Linked DNA regions of Daphnia pulex. The protein of the gene in region 1 purifies or fractionates together with the protein of each later gene. This does not show direct contact. Links are inferred from orthologs where the notes say so. Each region holds a gene or a part of one and is shown on either strand. Other genes may lie near its edges.

Region 1 (3,887 bases):
GTTGACTAGAAATAATGAGTTTACCTGTTCTTTGGCAGTTTCAAACCAATCTTCTGTATCCAACACAATTCGTAGTTGGCTTTCGATAACTTCAACCGATTGTTCAAGATCAGTAGTCTATTTCAAAATATTCTGTAAAATAAATGACACGAACTGACGTGAAAGCTAATTCATACCTCATGATCCGAATTTTTGTTATAATTATCTTTATAATCATCTTCAAGATGGCTAACATCAATAGCGTCATCAAAATTGAAATCTTCGTCTTCAAACAAATCTTTGCTCATGTCTTCGACTTTATTTGATGTTTTCTTGCTGATATTATCCTTGGCTGATTTTAAATTGCTTGATGTTCTAGGTTTAACTACAGGCGAAGTGCTGAGTACACTATTATAAGCATGATCTTTTGTTTCATAAAAAAAAGTTTAGTTTTATGGTTTTTTAGTATTGGAGCAAATGAAATACTGGATTACCGCACGAATCATCCACATCATTATCTTCATCCTTATCATTAAAGTCTCCCCAGAATTTTCCATCAAGGTTTCCTATACTAAAATCTGCTTTTTTAGTTATTAAACTTTTCCCTTTATCTCGATTGGGCTCTTTTTTGAAAGGCACTTGAATTGCTTCCTTGGCTGAAGAGGATTTAGACTCTAAATGATAAAGTAGTAAATATAACATAAAAGATAGACAAGTGACAAAATACTTTGATACCAATGGGGGTGGAATCTTGATCAAAATCATCATGTGATTTAATGTCACAGACATCTGAATGTTTCTTGTTTGTTTTTGACAAACTTTGAGATGTAATTGTAGAGGTATTGTTGATGCTATTTAAGAGTTCATGATTACATTTTTATTCACAAATACAATTGAAATTAACTAACCTTGAATTGAGTTTGAGTTTGTTAGCACGAGGAAGAAGGTATTTTTCCATCTGGCTAGAAAATCTCTTAAATCCTGATACAAGTACAATGTAGCTAGTGAATTTTTCTCACTTCGCTGTCCACGTAGGATTCCACGTAGCTTTTCAAGATTTCATACGTTTAACACAATTTGAAGGGAGTTCACAAAAGTGTATGGAACTATCATTGTAAACTCTAAACTGGTTGAGGGTCAATTTTGGTTACGAATGTAATCGAGTAAAGAATAATTCCCACTTTTATGCAAAAGAAATTGTAATCGAATTATTGAAATATGTCTATTTGGTATCTTTAGTTCTAGTTGTCTAATGTCTACCAAGTTAGGTTAACCTTCATCACGCTGAAAAACTTGAACAAGAAGCTGTAGCAGACGATTTCCCGCTTACATACATTTAAATGTTGCCAACTTGTTGCAATATACTAGTAAACTAATAAAATATCAAAACCACTTAGCACTTATAGAATGAGAATTTCATCCATTCACTTTCCTATTTTAAAATACCTTTAAAATAAAAATATTTAACTTATAATTTATGAAAACAGTAAAATTCGAGATTTTTCCATTCTATCCTCTAGAGGGCTGCACCAATTCGTAACCGTCCTCAATAACTGTCATGTCTGTCAATTTTCATTGTATGGTGCCTACCAAGGAAACGTGAAAATTGCTCATTCATTTTATAACATTCAAATGAGTTAAATCGTTTTTCTCCATTCCATCAGTGACGATCCAGGTAATCGGAATTCTCAAGATCCCTTTCCATCTTGTAGTGGATATAGAATGTGAACAACCGATGATTTCACGCAATTGTCGGTGTTGGAGGTGTAACCGGATGCTTACTGGGGCGTGGATATTCATAAAGAACTATGAATCTATTGAAACGTTTTGTTTGTTTTCTACATAGGATACTTATTCACTGTTAAATTTGGCCCAAACGCAGATGTCAAAGCTAGTGAAACTTCAGATGTCTCCACCAAGAACAAACTCAAACTTTGTGGAAGTGAAAAGCAAAGTAAAGTTTCATTTTCTGTCATGACCAAAGATTATTCATATTAAAATTCTTTTAATTCTAGTTTGTGGCTGAATTTAGAAGATTCAGTCTAAACAAAAAAGTATTACCAAAGTATGAAGATTTCAGAAAGTTGCTTGAACAACTACATGGCTTACAAATTGAACCATTCTATATAAGTTATACAGGTTTGTAATTTCATCATATACTACTTATTCAAAGACTGATTTGTAATTTGTCTCATTCATCATACAGACCCCAATGATGGGGATTTATTGCCCATCAACAATGATGACAACTTTGCTAGAGCTTTGCAGGCAGCACGTCCTTTGTTGAGAATCCACATACAGAGAAGAGGAGAATCACAGGATGATGAATTACATCAACACTATGCTTCTAAAAAGAATTTAATATCATCAATATTAGGAACACCCAAAACTAGGCCACACATTAGCATATCGTATCCAAAGGAATTTCGACAAGTTGGTTTGATTATTCCATCTGTTTATTTTCATTAATTAAGTAGATTTGTAATTAGCTTAAACGCCTTGTTTTCTTGCTTGAACTTGCGTAATCTTAGTTGTTGGCGTTATGTCTCCAGTTGTTGTTTCCTAGTCTCCTTTCTTGTTGTTGCATCTTGCTTCATGCTTGGTTGGGCATTAAACTGAATTATTCACTGTTAAAACAGGTTTCAGCTATTATTGATGTAGATGTAGTGCCCGATTCCTGCCGTCGAGTTAGGCTGCTCAAACATGGATCTGAAAGACCTCTTGGATTTTATATTCGAGACGGTACCTCGGTACGTGTCACACCTAATGGCCTAGAAAAAGTCCCCGGAATTTTTATATCAAGGTATGATTATACTTTATATCTATATATATCTTTATTATGTTGTGATTGACAGACCGTGATTTTTGACAGATTGGTTCCTGGCGGATTGGCCGAATCTACTGGTCTCTTGGCGGTCAATGACGAAGTGCTGGAAGTGAACGGTATTGAAGTCGCCGGAAAATCACTAGATCAAGTAACCGACATGATGGTGGCTAATAGTGCAAACTTGATCATCACCGTCAAACCGGCCAATCAACGAGGTGTTTTGACGCTGTCAAGAACCTCACACAATGACACGATGACGTCGTATTCGACCATCGCGTCAATGGTTCACTCTCATTCTGACGAGGACCATGAAGAAGACGAAACCGACGACTTAGATGAGATAAAGGATCTTACTATGCAGACCAGTGCTAGCAGCGGCAGCGATAGGACCAGCCACGCGAAAGATGATGGCATCCTTCACTTATAACATTATGATTTAAGTTCACAAATATCCATATATGAAAATGAAAACGTTCCCTTTTGAGTCCTTATTTTTAAAAAATGAAAGTGTATAAAAAAAAACAATTTGTCTTCTTTTTGCCTGAATGTTCGCAAACCACATCGGTCAATGCGTGCGTTTATATCCCGTCCACCCCTCCCCCTAGGTTTATAGTTAAGAAAAAAAAAACATGTGTGCCTTTTCAACACTTACCGGCCTTTCAATGGTAATTAGTAAAATGACTAATCGATGAGTCTCGATCTACACGATTCATCGGCACAAATACAACGTTAAAAAAAACTTGTCTCCAGTTCAAATTGTATTATCAATATGCACCACCGTGCTTCAAGAAAGTGGAGAGAACAAACTAAAAACATTAAGAAATTATTCTTTACTCACTTCGAAAATATACTCGTATAAAATGACAGCTTGTTTCTTTATAAATGAAGTATTTTTGAAGCGCCCTTATTCACTGCCAAGAATCTGCAAACCATTTAAAAATTTAAAACGGAACTATTGCACAACAATGACATTATTACCTCCTTAGCTTTCGACCGGATGAACTCTTTCCTCGTTTTCTCCAGTTCATATTCTGGGAATTTATTGTACACTTGACGACACAAGTTTTTCATAGTCATGTCT
Region 2 (3,653 bases), on another chromosome or scaffold:
TCCGTCACCTGTCCTATCCCTTCAACAAGGCCAAAGACGGCCGCCGCTGCTACCTCCATGTACGTAACGCAATTGCCGCTTGCTCGTGTGTGTGTGCACCTCTCTTTGTTTTATTATGCTTGCTCGGTTTTTTATTTTTATTTATCGCATCGCGCTGGGTGTAACGCTTTTTATTCCGTTTCTTTTTTGGTTGCCGGTTTGATCCGGTTTTTATTTTTATTTTATTTTTTTTCAATTTTGCCATTTTTTTAAATTTAAATAATGATAACCGTTGTGGATTTTTTAAATGTGCGTGAATCAGACAAGTCGCAGGAGAATAGCCGGCCGCTTTTCGTCCGTCCGGTTGACCCGCCTTCAAGAAACTCTTCAAGGGACATCGGCCCGACTTTGGGGTTGAAGAAATCGTCGAGTTTGGAGTCGCTCCAGACGGTCGTCCAGGAGATCCAGATGCAGGAGGAGGAGCCTCAAATCGGTTGCTACGGCTATCACCGGCCGACGGCCATCCGGGTGGTTCGAGGACGCGGCTGCAATGAAAGTTTCCGAGCGGCTGTCGATCGCAGCTACGACGAGTCGGGCCAGCCAACTGACGGCACCAACAAAGAGCCCATGGAGACACGTAAGCAACCCGGAAGCGTTTTACCAGACTAATGTTTTAATGTCCATTGAAAATTTCGTGAAACTTTCGGGATTTATTCCGGACTAGTAGACTGGAACATTCTTTTTTTTTTAATTTCTCTATTTATTTTCTCTTTGCGATTTAGTGGACGAAGCGTTGGAAGTTGAGGTGAATGAAATGATGCCACCGCCACGCTCTCCATCGGACATCGGAATTCCCATGTTGAACAACAAGAACGAGACGCGCAAGAGCAAAAAGAAGAACGCCAACGCGGCCGGACTCCTTTTGAAAGGCCTGGGCTCCATGTTCCGCTTCGGCAAGCACCGCAAATCCGCACCAGCCAGTCCAGAATCCGGTCATCAGTCATCCGGATCGGATCCGACAGTTTCGGGTCATCATTCCATGGCCGGCGGCCACATGATTATGCCTTCGTCCGGAAACCAATCTCACCATCACCACCAGAGCGAGCGGAGATCTTCTTCCGGTCATTCCGGAAGCATCGGCAGGTCGTCTGCCGTGAGCGAAGTGGACCGCCATCACGTCCTCAGACGAACTCTTCCGCCCGATGAACGTGACCGTGCAGAGCTCGGACGCCAAATGGCCATCGCCGTCGCTCGCCAGGTAAATTGCAAAAAACTCAAATTCGTGCGGATGATTGAGGACAAAGAAGAAGTTTGGGTTGACGTCATCTCGCCTTATGTGACGTCTAAAAGGAGAGGGGGGAAAACAACAAGTGATTCACCGGAAACATTTCACCGACGCTCGATTGTTTCGTCGAATAATGATGTTCGATTAAAAGCGAGTCTCGACTTTTTACGCATTTAATTCATGGGACTCCCACGCGTTCACAGGGAGCCAAAGTTCGTGTACACAGGATTTGCGGCTTTTTATTTATTTTCTATTTTTTTCTACGCGAGAGAGAGGAGGGTTGGAATAATTGAATGACGGGATATTGTGGTTTTTTCAAGTGCACACAAGCGACATTGTGAAAGACACACGATTTCACTTTGGGAAAATCAGTTTTCTTTTTTCTAGCTATAGAGCATAGGCTTGTAATCGAAGAATTTTTGTGAGTTGTAAACCATTTCGATCGTAATGTTTATTTTCCCGTTGCGGAAGAAATTAGTGGCCCCGTTTCTAGTCCATTTGCTGTTGCCATCTAACGGTTGTTTGTTCTGGCTTTAGAATTTCTGGTTTTTATTCTTTTATTTGATTGTTCGATTCTTTTCTCTTATTCTTTTTACAGGCCGCCCAAGATGAACAGAAGAGAATACAACATCATTATTTACGGTTGATGGATCAGCAACAACGCCAGGCCGCCGCCGCTCACGATCACCAGCAGAAGCAACAACAGCAGCAGCAACAACAGCAACAAGGGAATTCAGCAACAACTGGTGACCGCTCGCAGAGGCTGCATCAGCTGCGCGCCCAGCACCAAAAACGGCACGCCGAACAACAAAGACAGTCGACTCACACGCCGACGGAACAGTTCGAGTATGAAAAATATTCAAATTGCAGACGATGGAAATGACATTTTAACGTTTTTTCTTTTTCTTTTTCCCTTGACTTGTTTTGGTTAGGTCAAATAATAAGAATGTGCCGGAAATCATACACGGACGCTCGGCCAGTTACGACCCTTACAACGACGTGAGGAAACCCCGTAGCCGGGCAGCTGTCGGCGAACCCAATACTCTTATGCCCATTCCGGCCGTGCCTTCCTCCACGTCCAACTACAACAACAATTACGACGAATTTCAACTCAAGTAAATATCTTTATTTTCAATTTCACAGAACTTCTTTGAATTTAAGATCGTTTGCAATGAACGTGTTATTGTTGTTCGTGTCTCCACTAATATTTAACTCGACCAACATGTAACTAACGGTTTTGTGATTTGATTGGGGGTTTTCTATTTTGGCTACGAAAAGAAATGGCAATTTGAACCCGGTTCAGATTCGTGAAATGCAGGAATTGGTCCGTCATCAAAGACTCAAAGTTGAACAGGGACAAGTCATGTAAGAAATCAACAACATTTCCAAACAAACAAAAGTAGCGCGAGTTGATTATTTTCTTCGGTTGGTTTGAATTCGCCGCATCCGTCGCCTGCATTTTTATTTTTCGTTTATGATTTTGCATGGTCCCCAGTTTTATTTGGTTTTATTAGTTTTTATTTCGGTAGACATTTTGTTTTTTAAATTAAATGTTGATTGGAATTTGTATTAATTCATTTTCATTTGTTTGTTTTTGCAGTCGGCGTCAGCAGCACTATCACTCGCAGCGATCGGCTCGCGAGACGCGGATGAGCCCACCGGGTGGAAATGGTTGGTCGGGTGCCGATCGGCCCGTCTCCAACTATTTCGAGTATGAAAGTCTTCACATTGCTGGTCACAAGGTCGCATTGAGCGGACCACCTTACAAGTAATATTGCACACACACGTTTCCGATTTTTCCCTTTGTGCAATAAACTAACGAAATGTCTGTGTTTTTTAATGACTTTCTCAGACCTCAGCAACAACAACAATCGGGAAATCGTCGCCCACCCACCGTGCAGGGCGATGATACAACATTTTTCCGGCGCCCTGATAGAAACAGCACTGGTCATGGTACGTCTACTTCTGTTATTTCGGAATTTCATCATCTTCTTTGATACACTTGAATATGAATGGATTATTTTAACTTGCAGAATACGGAAGCAATCAAGGACGGGCATCTCAACGGGAATCGGTTTATGGTGCATCCACCTACGGAAGCGGCAGCCAAAATAACCCCAGCAGACCGGCTCCTTTGACAGGATCTAAAGTCTGAGCAGCAACGACGGCAGCAGTTAACATTCAGCTAATTATATAGGGACAATAGGTATCTGTGTTAATATCAAACTCAAAAAAAAATGAAACTATCAAGTACTTTGAAAACGAATGCATGTGCAGTCCATTGGTCAGATTTTCTTTGAAATATTTTCAAAGGAAAAAAGTCCATTTTCATTTTCATTTTTTTGCTCGATCAAAAAAACTGTTGAATTGTAAATAACTTAAGAAACTG
Region 3 (4,067 bases), on another chromosome or scaffold:
GAGGATGAATGGCCGCCGTTTCGTAAGGTAATGTTATTGGACTACGTCTTAAAGTTCTTCCATTTTGTATTTTTAAGTTAAGTCATGTTGTTCCAATGGAGTTTATTATTTTTTATACATTTTGCTTTGCCCAAGACTGGATTATATCCTTTTCCATTTTTATCTGTTTTTCTTGTATAGAGTCCTTCATTATGATAGACATTTTTTAGTATTTAGTTGGTGGTGCCAAGTGATAGTATTTAACAGAAGTGTCAATTATTCCTTACCTTCTTATTTTTTAATTGAAATTTTATATTATGCGAGTTCAGATTGGAGTATTCGATCCTTACTCAGATGACCCACGTTTGGCTGTTAAGAAATTGTGCCTGTGCCCTGTCACTGGATTGTTAACAGTTGCTGGGACGGCTGGTCAAGTTGTCGTTGCCGAATTATTCGAAATGCAATCGGAAAAAGAAGTCCCGGTACTTATATTTTGCAAAACTTTACTTTAAATTCAATATTCTATATATTTTTTTCTTCTTGACGTAGATTGTACTCGTTAACATAGTTTCAGATCGGGATAATTTTGTGTGGAAAGGCCACGATAAGTTAGTAGTAAGGAAAGGTTTACTGTCCTTTAAACCAGGCTTCCAGCCAACTTCTGTCCTACAGCTTCATCCTCCCGCTGCAGCCACGGCATTAGCGTTAAATGCAGAGTGGTCAGTATTGGCTGTAGGAACAGCTCATGGACTAACACTTTATGATATAGTAAGTATTGAATGAAATGGTCATCGTTCGCAATCCATTTTAATCTTTACAAAAAAATTTAGACCGTTAAAAAGGAGGTAGTTGCAAAATGCACCCTTAATCCGAATGATGTGTCAGGAACTGGAGAGCAGCCAATGTCACGACGAAAATCTTTTAAAAAATCCCTCAGAGAATCCTTCAGGCGGCTGCGTAAAGGGCGTAGCCAGCGTCCTTCCGCTGGCCCTAAATGTGCACCAACTTCACCGATATCAAAGGTCGAAGATAGTAACGCTATAAACAATGCTGGGCCATCTATAGCTGCTGAAGTGCGGCCTGTTGAGAGGCAGATTGAAGCTAGAAATGTTATGTTAGATGACGGTATGGGCAGCATGGTTCGTTGTTTACTGCTTGTCAAAACTTACGTAATCAGTCAGTCTTCCAATGCTACCGCAACTCTTTGGGCCGGAACAAATAGCGGAGCTATATATGTTTTTAGCCTTAACATACAGACGGGTATGTTGACATTTTAATTTTTATATTATTGCTGTGGCCTTTTTTCTTTATTTGTGTCTAACTATGCACTCATTTCCTTCTGTCTAATATTTATTTGCTTTAAATATTTCAGGAAATAGACGACACGTGGAGCCCGTGAACGCACAACTTGCAAAAGAGATTCAATTGAAACATCGAGCACCTGTTGTATCGATTAACATAATTGATGCTTCTTATGCAGCTATTGGGGAATCGTTTGAAAACTCTGGGATTAAATCGACTTCTGAATCCTGTCCTCCGCATCGCGTAGTGATTTCGTCGGAAGAACAGTTCAAAGTGGGTGATGAGTATGCGAGGAATTAATTGCCATATGTAATGAATGGCATTATTTTTGTTGCTTCTAGGTTTTCACACTTCCAAACCTGCGCCCGTATGGAAAGTACAAATTAACTGCTTACACTGGTTGCAAAGTTAGGCGCGTTGCGGTTGTTCCCTTTACTGCTCGATCGGATCCGTCCTATAAAGAGAACTGTTTGGTGTGTCTGTCCAATCAAGGAGATTTTCACATTTTAAGTCTCCCGGAACTGCGGCGACAAATGAATGCACAGGCTATACGAAAGGAAGATATACAGTAAGATAAAGGTTTTTTCTTAATTAATGTTTTCTTAAATTTCATCAGCAATTTCGGATCATTTATAGTGCTACCAGTACTGTTGTCCTTACAAATCAAGGAGAAGCATTTTACATGTTGTCTTCCAGTGAATTACAACGTGTTGCGTTGAGTGCTCGTAATTCCCTCCAGTTAAAATGTAAAGTGAATGGGATGAAAAATACCCAGGCTCCCGTGGAATCCTCCTCTCAGGCGGTGATCAAGATTTGTACGTCAAAAGAAGAAAAGCCAGAAGTAGTAATGGAAACTGAATTCTCTGACGTTTCTGTCATTTCAAACACGAGTAATCCAAATGAAGACCGAGAAAACGATAAGAATATCTGCAATAATGAAATTAACAATTCAACAATCGTAAGTGTTGAGCCGGAAACCAGCTTTGGAGATATGACGGTGGACTCTGTCAAAGATCATATAGTGTAGGTTTCCATTTATATTCATAGAAAGAAAAACATTTCTTAACATTTTTTATTTGCATGAAATCTTTTGACTATTGAAGCCTTAGTTTGGACGAATGTAGAATCACAGAAGTTGCATCGGAAACTCGCATTGAACAAGTAAAAACAGAAATATCCTCTGTTTTAAGTTTACACGAAACTTCAAAAATCTCTAACGGTAATCAAGAAGTTGTCTCATTTGATTTTATTGAACCTTACATTAACTAGTGCTGACTTTGAACACTAACGAATTTAACTCGGATAATATAAACAAAAAAGAATTCTATTAATCAATATTTCATCTATTTTAGTAATCTCAATAGATGAATCATATTCCATTACTCATCACGAGACTAAGGTTAATGTGCACTTAGAGTCTGATATGGAGAAGAATCGTGTGGTTTCGCAAGAATGTACTGTGAGTGATTTGCATGGAAATTTGGATGTGACTGTTACCAAGGTAAACATTTACTATATTCACCACTAGTCTACAACTTAAGTTTTTTTTAGATTCTAACATCAATTTGAAATATTTATTATATTTTGAAATGTTTTATTGCTGATTGTATTTTAATTATTGGCACATTTTATTACTGTTCTAGGACCCTACTGAATTGTCGACTGAAGAAAATGTGGAAACTTCAAAATAACGATGGTGAATTAGCAGCTTATAAAATTTCAAAGAAATCATTTAATTTGGTAGAAACACCAAATTTTTATGTTGGCTGATAATTGTTAATCAAGCTAATTTCATAGCAAAAAGGCAGCTAATTATTGTCAATAACTAATGGTGTCGGTTTTTACTGCATTCCAGTATCACAATTGTCTTATTTTAGTAATATTATGGTAGAGAAAATAATTTCCTCAAAGCATTCCACATACTGAAATCAATTCGAATATTCCTAAATGAAGCAAAGATTAATGCTACAACTGAGCATTGTAGTCGCGCTGGGCTATTTCTTTAAAGGGTTTCTCCGTACTGTAAAGGAATTTATTTTCTAATTATTCTATGTACTCAAATTAAACGCTAATAAGGAACTAAAATCTTCTCCAATTTACAAATTGTGGAATTGTTTGACTGGTGAGTCGACTGCCTTTAATCAGTTTTGCCTTTTCATGAATTTTACGAGTTTTCTCAACCGCCATTTTTGTATATGAGAATTCGGTATGGAATCTGGTTTACTAATACAATCCTGCTATGGGAAACCTTTTGAGATCGATTCATTTTATTTCTTTGTCCGGTCCATGTCAATAATACTTCTGAAATAAAAGACAGTAAAAAGTAAGTAGTAAGTAAGACAGCGAAAGAAAAGGGGCCGAGTAGAGTTAATCCAAGCGCAAATAGGTAATAGAGTACGCGACCATTTCGTCCGCGCTTCGTTCCCGCGTCGCGCAGCGATTTTTTCAAGAAATCCACCACTCAAGCGCACCGAATTCATGGACTCCCCCCCCCCCCGTTTTTTCCCATTTGGGCCATTCCGCTATGGGACCTAAAAATCTGAAAAATACAGGCCTATCAAAGATCCGTGTCCAAAGGCTGATCCGTTAACGGATTTCTTCTAACCCACTTTACTTTAACCAGAGCCATTACTTATGGTTGTGCGACACTGCGACTCATATGGCGGAAGATTCTCTCGGAGATGGCGTCGTCTTGATGCTCCTCTACGGACATGCCTCCTTCAAACTCTATTCCGCCCCCTCGAATTCCTATCAAGTGGTCCCGCCACTAGCGGCGATAGTCTCCA

What was found.
Region 2: the proteins of partitioning defective 6 homolog gamma-like (region 1) and partitioning defective 3 homolog purify together in Drosophila melanogaster (affinity purification with western blotting; 7 studies listed by BioGRID). This does not show direct contact. The link is inferred for Daphnia pulex from reciprocal best matches to the Drosophila melanogaster genes par-6 and baz.
Region 3: the proteins of partitioning defective 6 homolog gamma-like (region 1) and lethal(2) giant larvae protein homolog 1-like purify together in Drosophila melanogaster (affinity purification with western blotting; 5 studies listed by BioGRID, with this or other methods). This does not show direct contact. The link is inferred for Daphnia pulex from reciprocal best matches to the Drosophila melanogaster genes par-6 and l(2)gl.

What each region holds. Positions count from the first base shown.
Region 1 is NC_060019.1:10,154,262-10,158,148, reverse strand, and holds partitioning defective 6 homolog gamma-like, read left to right. Parts: upstream 1-1,381; 5' UTR 1,382-1,654; intron 1,655-1,825; 5' UTR 1,826-1,861; coding exon 1,862-1,933; intron 1,934-1,994; coding exon 1,995-2,118; intron 2,119-2,185; coding exon 2,186-2,412; intron 2,413-2,618; coding exon 2,619-2,782; intron 2,783-2,851; coding exon 2,852-3,233; 3' UTR 3,234-3,261; downstream 3,262-3,887. Other genes in the region: Bloom syndrome protein homolog, read right to left, coding at 25-117, 177-403, 474-653, 715-830, 888-937; protein DEK-like, read right to left, coding at 3,711-3,728, 3,785-3,887.
Region 2 is NC_060025.1:9,143,963-9,147,615, forward strand, and holds part of partitioning defective 3 homolog, read left to right. Parts: coding exon 1-59; intron 60-301; coding exon 302-616; intron 617-761; coding exon 762-1,237; intron 1,238-1,862; coding exon 1,863-2,110; intron 2,111-2,196; coding exon 2,197-2,379; intron 2,380-2,542; coding exon 2,543-2,629; intron 2,630-2,864; coding exon 2,865-3,032; intron 3,033-3,116; coding exon 3,117-3,217; intron 3,218-3,297; coding exon 3,298-3,419; 3' UTR 3,420-3,653.
Region 3 is NC_060023.1:5,198,132-5,202,198, forward strand, and holds the end of lethal(2) giant larvae protein homolog 1-like, read left to right. Parts: coding exon 1-27; exon of another isoform or gene 28-184; intron 185-266; exon of another isoform or gene 267-308; coding exon 309-461; intron 462-528; coding exon 529-747; intron 748-809; coding exon 810-1,239; intron 1,240-1,351; coding exon 1,352-1,554; intron 1,555-1,622; coding exon 1,623-1,849; intron 1,850-1,917; coding exon 1,918-2,304; intron 2,305-2,384; coding exon 2,385-2,500; intron 2,501-2,633; coding exon 2,634-2,782; intron 2,783-2,924; coding exon 2,925-2,972; 3' UTR 2,973-3,536; downstream 3,537-4,067. UniProt on the Drosophila melanogaster protein: Essential for the development of polarized epithelia, for cell polarity associated with asymmetric cell division of neuroblasts during development, and for oocyte polarity formation.